Drosophila melanogaster: one gene and its partner. The protein of the gene in region 2 interacts with the protein of the main gene of each other region in a pairwise test. Each region holds a gene or a part of one and is shown on either strand. Other genes may lie near its edges.

Evidence for each region. The genes of interacting proteins can lie anywhere in the genome.
Region 1: the proteins of CG15365 (region 2) and Lac interact in a two-hybrid assay, tested with the Drosophila melanogaster proteins (one large-scale study listed by BioGRID).

What each region holds. Positions count from the first base shown.
Region 1 is NT_033778.4:12,451,526-12,455,279, reverse strand, and holds the start of Lac (lachesin), read right to left. Parts: upstream 2,091-3,754; 5' UTR 1,764-2,090; coding exon 1,226-1,763; intron 1-1,225. UniProt on the Drosophila melanogaster protein: Required for normal tracheal development and maintenance of the trans-epithelial diffusion barrier. Functions as a homophilic cell-adhesion molecule. May play a role in early neuronal differentiation and axon outgrowth.
Region 2 is NC_004354.4:9,066,378-9,070,131, forward strand, and holds the start of CG15365 (uncharacterized protein), read right to left. Parts: upstream 1,607-3,754; 5' UTR 1,131-1,606; intron 1-1,130. Other genes in the region: CG10970 (uncharacterized protein), read right to left, coding at 3,377-3,688.

The DNA of each region.
Region 1 (3,754 bases), on a different chromosome or scaffold from region 2:
GGTGTGTCCGCGAGTCGGTTCTGGGTAATGAGTAACTCTCGGATTAGTTACACTAATTGCTTTCCAAATGACGCTGCAATCTTGTTAAGGACAGCCATTATGTTTTGCCCGAGGGTCGGAGTTCAGGTAAAGATCGCATCGAGATCGCTATGGAACAGCAGCACCTGTATGGGATTAACCTAGCGAGAAGATTCTATTGTTCCATCTACCTGGGCACCAAATTACTTTAGTGTTTTATTAGCTTTTCTCTTCCTTTCGAGAATTTCTGGATGGACAAGTAAACGCAAACAATTTGTAGATAGCATTTGCACTTGTCCGAAACGGAGTTTCCCGAGAAATATGGACCGTTTTCTTGGAATGGGAGGAACATAAAGAAGGTGAAGAAAAATAAATTTATTATTTCTGGCATGTACATATATAACCCCCCCATTTGGGTTTTTCCAAACTCGTCAAGTGTATGGATAAGAAATTTCATTTTGCGCAAATATCGATGATACATTATTCTAATAATCAAAAGAACATGTATTTATACAAAAGCCAAATATCATACATATGTACGTGCTGATTTCTTCAAAAGTAATGAATAATAAAATGGATTTAGAAAGAGAGAAGCTAGAATTGAGTTCCTTGCTAAGTTAAATAACAATCAAACTTTTTCGCACAACTTAATGTATTCTTGAGCTAACAAACTTGCTAGAAATTAGATTTTCCCTTGTTATTTGGTTAGACCTCTTTGCGAAACAATCTTCTAAGGCCCAACAAGGTAAACAAAGGGTAGCATGTGTATGTTTTCGAACGACAGAAGTTGGAAAACGGCCTAAAATGAAAAATCAATCTGCTGTTGCGAAACTCAGCCCTCGAAACAGGTGGGGGGTGGCAGGGCAGGGCTAGACCCCGTTTACCAGAACAGCCAGCCCAAGCCGAGTAAACAAAACTGAAAAACTAAGGTGACGCCTGAGTGAGTCACGGTCACTCACACTGGAGCCCAGAGCATCGAGCCCAGTTAAAAGCCCCCATTCCCAGCCATCCCAGCTAAAACCTAATGCCAAAGCGGGACGGACAGAGCTACCTGACCAGAGAGCGGGAGCCAAGAGAACGGAGAGAGAGAGAGAGCGAAGAGGGAGAGAGAGAAGTGGAGAACGCGCCCCACCAAACGAAAGCTGACTTAGCCAGCGTACCCAGCGTAACCCAAGATAATCACCCACAAATAAATGAAGAAACTCACCAGTTGGCAGAATGGCATTGTTCTCGCGCCTCCAGGTGATGGTGGGTGTGGGATAGCCGCTGGCGTAGCACTCCATCTGGACCTCGCTGCCCTCGCTGGCCACCACCGACTGCGTGGAGTTGTCCGAGATGACGGGGGGACGGCGCACCGATAGCTTCACTTCGGCGCTCACTTTGTGAACGGTGGAGATCACCACCTGGCAGGTGTAGGTGCCCGCGTCCGTCTCCTGAATGTCCTTGATCTGCAGCTTGTAGGTGGACGAGTTGGGATCGTACCGCAGCGAGAAGCGCGAATCCTTGATGACCAGCGTGGAGCCCGTGGAGAGGAAGACGGGATCGCTGTCCGTCTTCAGGAACAGCACGTTGTACTCTTTGGCATACTGGACGGAGCAATCGAACTCCACTGTGCCGCCGATATCCTTGATCTGCTCCTGCGTGATGTAGGATATGGTCGGGGTTCGCTGTGCTAGCGTTTGCTGCACAAAAATGGCCAGGAGCAGGGTGCTCCACACGCAATTCGAGATACTCGGCCGCCACATCTTAGAAATTGACTTTTAGCACCACACCCTGCAAGCGCGCGATTTAATATATGTAGTGTTTCTCAAGAGCTGCGCTCCAAGATCTCAATCTTCTCCAAATAGGGTGAGAGCGCGGCGAAGACGTCTCCAAGAAACCGAAGACAACTATTGCCGTTTCTTTCTTGAGCACAGCAAACGCGGATGCTGAACTGCAGTCTCCACACTTGTCTTCTCGCTCAGAGCTGGTTTCAGACTTCTTCTCTCGATCAGTCACGAGTTTTGGCCAAGACGGAGATAACGCGCCGGAGAGACAACTTCACAGTTCGAAAGTCGCGAAACGAATGAATCTCTGGCTTTGAAAAGTGCGCCATCAAGAGCGCAACTTGCCTGGAGATGGGCACCTTGAATGTGCCTAAATAAAGACAGTAGTGTTATCGGTATGCAACATAGCTCAGACTCAAACCAGAGATAGCATATGGTTGATATACTAAGTGGAGACACACACTCGAAAATCAGATGGCAACGCCATTCCTCTTGGAACCAATGGCATCCTCAAATTAATTTGAAATTTAAAATGAAATTTCAAGCTAGTAACTTCATTTCAAAATAAAAACGTTCATTCTTTGTGATTGTTTAAAATGCCTTTTTATTTAATTTTCTCTTTCTTGTTATTTTATTCAGTAGTTATGTATAAGTTCTATAAATGTCGGATTTTCTCTATATCGTGCTCTATGCCGTTACGATTATATGGTATAACTTTTTTGTATGAATGCATATTATAAATGGATAATATATAAATCGTGTTTAGTTTTTCGTTTTAGTGTTCAACATTGGGCTTCTCTTTCATGTGATTCAAATAGTTGTTGGCTTTATCGTATCTCAAAGTGTATAATGTATATATATATATAATGTAGAGCATTTAGAATTTGATTTTAGGTTCTCAACAAGTTGCTAGTTATTAAGTACATAATATGTCAATGTCTATATCGTATTTGTATTACGCATTACGTGATTTGATTTTCCATTTGTTAAGTTTCTTGGTAATAAATATCCGCTGACGGGGGCGCTTACACAATCTAAAAGCCAATTACGAATCGCGGAAACCTAAAATTAAAACACCATACCTCTTATTGCCCTTTAGCAGTACGATCGTAAAAGTTTCAACGAGATTCAATGGTTTTGCGACTTCGAAGAGCAGTGCAACTGCAAGTCTTTTTTATCAGCTATATTCATATCTTTTGCTTCAGTAAAATAATCATATAGATGCATATATCCGTTTACATATCTGTGTTTTCTGTGTAGATAGCAATCTTCAAAGTATAAATTATAATGATTAAGGTAGTGTAGGCTACGGCTCAGTAAAATAATCAATAAATAAATTGCTCTAAGTCAACGTATGAGTTAAGGTAAGGTAGAAAGCTAAGCGAGAATTCGTCTTCATCCATCCAGCTGCCTCTGGAGATTCCCAGTCCTGCGGTTTCCACTGGTAGCCAGTTCTTAGTTCTTCTGCGAATTAAGACTCCATTGTGCAAACTGCTCCTGCCATTGGCTATTCGCATTTGCCTGTGGAAACATAGAAATCTGTATTAAAATAAGTCATCGAAGCCTCATGTTTTCTCTTTAATCGTACTCAAGATCTTTGGCATGCAAGGCAATTGGAAAGTAGCAATCACTACACTAGCTACAGGATATATAGATATATATTCGAATTATGTTTCGGATATCGAGTGCATGTACAGAGAGAAATAGATAAATAAGGATAGACAACGGCAAAGAACAACATCTAGATCAACAGTGAGCAGGATTTCATGGCGAAATCCTTTACCTTTTCATTCCACTCTTGGTTATACGATTGAGATTCGTCGAAATCTGAAATTGATCAAGTTTGCGGTGAGCATATGTATTATCGGTATCATGGCTCAAATCAAAATCAGACAATTTATTCGAATCCTTTGAGTCAAGCAGCCAACGTGAATCAAATCTAGAGACTAACTAGGATGAGCTGACTGAGA
Region 2 (3,754 bases):
ATATATTATAGAATATTATTCTAAATAAGTAGTATTTCACTTACAAAAACATATTATATTGCCTTCTGTTTACTGCATTCACTAAGGATATTCATAAACTTTATATATGAGTATATTTAAAATAAAGATCGTTTTTTAAGAGGTATCTAGGGGATTGTTAGTGATCTATGTATTTCACTTGCATATTTATTAGAACCACTTTATTTTTCTGCACTTGACATTTCAACATAAAATCGCTGAATTCCGTCGGAACGAATTAGAGATTTTCCAGGTAAAATAAAGCGATTTAAGGCCAAGTGCAACTGGCCAACCCAACCCAGTAAGCAACTCGGCCACTTCGGCGACCATTATCCATTATCCATTATCCATTATCCATTATCCATTCCCCCCGGGTAGAACCCGCAGTTTCGGATAGGTCAAGTATATGCGGCACTTTATGGGCTTTACGAGTGTAAAAAAAAAGCAAAAAAGCAAAAGATTGAGAAGAGAAAAGAGCTCAAAGACAGATACTTGCTTATTTCTAGAGGCTGACCAGAGCATCTTTTTCATCTTTTTTTTTCATATATATATATATATATATGTATATATATCTACTTTTTTCACCAGTTTCGTATATATTTTCGCTGTAGTTTTTGTTTTTTGCCTGTGGGGCCAACAGGTTCGCTGGCAGTTGGGAAAAAGTCAAACGGCTCAATAATCGAAGACGACGGCTCAGAGTTTTTGAGTCCGCGACTCCGAACTTCAGCTCTTTGAGTCCAGATAAATGAGGACAACAACAACAGCGACAACTTTAAAGAGGTTGTGCGTGTGCCTGTGTGTGTGTGAGCCAGCTGGGATAGGCACACTGTGCGAAAAGAGCATGTACTACTTTGTTCTAATCAAGCTAGGCAGGTCGAATTCAAATTGATTTTAGCACGTTTTCAATTTCAAATGCCACATAATAAATATATTATTATGTTTAAATCTTACAATTTTCAACATATTCTATTATTTTCTGTGTACTCCATTCGAATTAAAAAAATCAGCGAAACCAAAATAAACGAAAAATCAGACAGCAACAAGAAAAAAAAAATACGAAAATATTTTAAGCCCAACGAAAGAATAACAAATGAATGGAAATATTTGCTCACCTCTTCCTTTGGTTTTTAGTGCCTTGTAATCGCTGTTGTTGACTCTTCAAATGTGTGTGTTTTTATATTTTGTAAATTTTCTTGGTTTTTTTTTTTTTTTTGATATTTGTTTATTGCTTGCCCGCTTGATGTGGCTGCATTATATTTCAGCTGTTGCCGCTGAAAGCCAACGGAAAGCAGGCAAGTTTTCAAATTTGCACAATGAAATTGATTTTACAACGCGTAAAATTCCACAAATTATGCACGAAATGCGTTTTGAATTGCACTCAGCCACCACACTCGAAAAAAAGGCTGCCATTCACCGCTCGCCGCGAAGCGTAGCCCAAACCCCCCCAAAAAAAAAAAAGAAAAACTAAAAAAAAAAAACCGTTGCACGCCTGCGCTTTTCAAAAATCTTCCCAGTTCGCTTCGAAACTTTCATCCGCAACGTTGGCCCTCCGTCGACGACTTTCGCGTTCCAGCGCTCAAAGCAAACTGAGCTGCAGAGCGTCGGAATTGGAAGCAGCGAACGGCGACTGCGACGCGACTGCGGCGCGCCGGCGATCAGAGATGAGAGCTTAGCTTTTTTCAAAAGCTTATAAAAAAAAGAGTCATCTTCGAAATGACATTCTCATTCGATTGCAAACGTTTATGTGTACGAATTACTTGAAAATTGAAGAATATAACTTGTACTTTAGAGATTCATGCAGTTATTTAACTTGTTGGCTAAGGATTCAATCACTTTCATAAGCATATTTTCCAAAAGATCAATGTATTGTGTACTAAATGTAGTAGCTGTTTCTCATACTCTTTACTTTTTATAACTTATAATTATACTAATTATGCTTCTATTGGTGTTATGACGTACAGTCAGCACTGATTGCTTGCGAATCGGATTGGCAATCATTGTCGCCGTTCTTTCCGGTTTGCTGGCGTTGCCACAGCGCTGCAATTAAGCGGCTAATTCTGATTTTGGATACCGATTCGGATCCAGACTTGGGATTCAAACATATGTATAAACATATATGTTCGCGGCAACCGCATTAGTCCAAGTCGCAGTCGCCGCCTAGGTTAATTTCCCTCAATTTTGTGGCTTTTCGCATATAGGTTCATTGCTTACATTCATAGATACACAGCGAGAAAATTGTATTACTTACAGATAATTCTTTAAAATATTTAATAGTATTTGATATTTAATAGTATAGTATTTAAAATTTAATAGTATTTAATATTTGGTTAGTTTCTTCACTGGAATATATTTGAACCTTAAGATTTCTCAGGAGGAAGGATTTTTATACCAAGGATTTTTTAATTTCCTCTGTGTAAAACACACTTGGCTACCTGTTGCACACACACACACACACACAAATTCTAGTAATGGCCGTCCGCAAATTGACCCATAAAATTGTAACGTTGCTTGAGCCAAGATAGTTTAGCTGTCCATATATCACTGCAGATACACGACACTGGCCTACAAAAGAACACTTTGATAATTCCCCCCGATGTGCAGTGTTGAGATGGTAACGTTTTGTGCTTAGCCGACTAAGATGATCTTCTTAATATAGAAAAACTAAACTTCAAATCTACCACTTCTCACTGGCCTGTTAACCAGTGCTATTTGGTTGAGAAGTCTGGAACTCAGTGAATCGGCAGTTGTATCCGCGAACGCATAAATAACCATCCGTGGCTATATGTTCGCTGTTGTCCAGTGGTACACCTTCATCGTGTCGATCGAGGTGGCGATCAGATTCTTCGATTTGCATGCCAAACAGCCGGGAACATCGCTAGCTTACTACGAGTATATGCATCCGAGGCATGCGATTCGATTTGATATCCGATCGCCGGCGGCGATGGCCACAAGGTTATCCCCTCCCACGGATCATGGACATCATTAGCTCATTCGTCACGATCGCAATGGGTCCTAGAACCAACGATGGAGTACTCGTAAGTGAGAATCCATGGGTCATTTGGAGAATTGCCCAGATCCAGCAATCGCAACAATAATCATTCAATCCACAATGAGCCCATGAAAAGTTTGGCATTTTCATACAGGTTCTTCTCTTTGGGAAATTGCTTGTTGTATAAATCAGCTCTTTAGGAAACTCTTTTGAATTTGTGATTATATAACTGTGTAATTTTTATTTGGAAAATACCTTGTTATATCCATACAACAAAAATATTAGACAAATCATAATGGATAAAACTTTTGATAGCCGTTTTAAACAAAATTATGCATTGGAAATATTTTATTTTGTTTGATCCTTTAATCACTTTAGGTTCACCTTGATTTCGAAGGTCTTGTAGGTGTATTCCTGGATGACTTTCAGATTCTTAATAATGAACTCCTTGATGGCCTGCACGTAATCGGCGGCGGCCAGGATGAGCTTCTTAAAGGCATCGATCACCTTGCCCTCGCCCTCCAGACGACCCTTGAACTTCTCCTCCGACACCTGGGCAATGAATCCCCGCAGTCCCAGTGCATTGGCCTGGACCAGTGCAAACAGCTCGAAAGCATCCTTGGGCACCCTGCCACGCACCTCAAAGTCACAGCACAAGATCTCCTCCTTTTGGCCTGCCATCTCGAGTAAGATTGAATTTGCCAAAAAAAAAAAAAAAAAAAAAAACAGGGTGTACAATATGTAGTT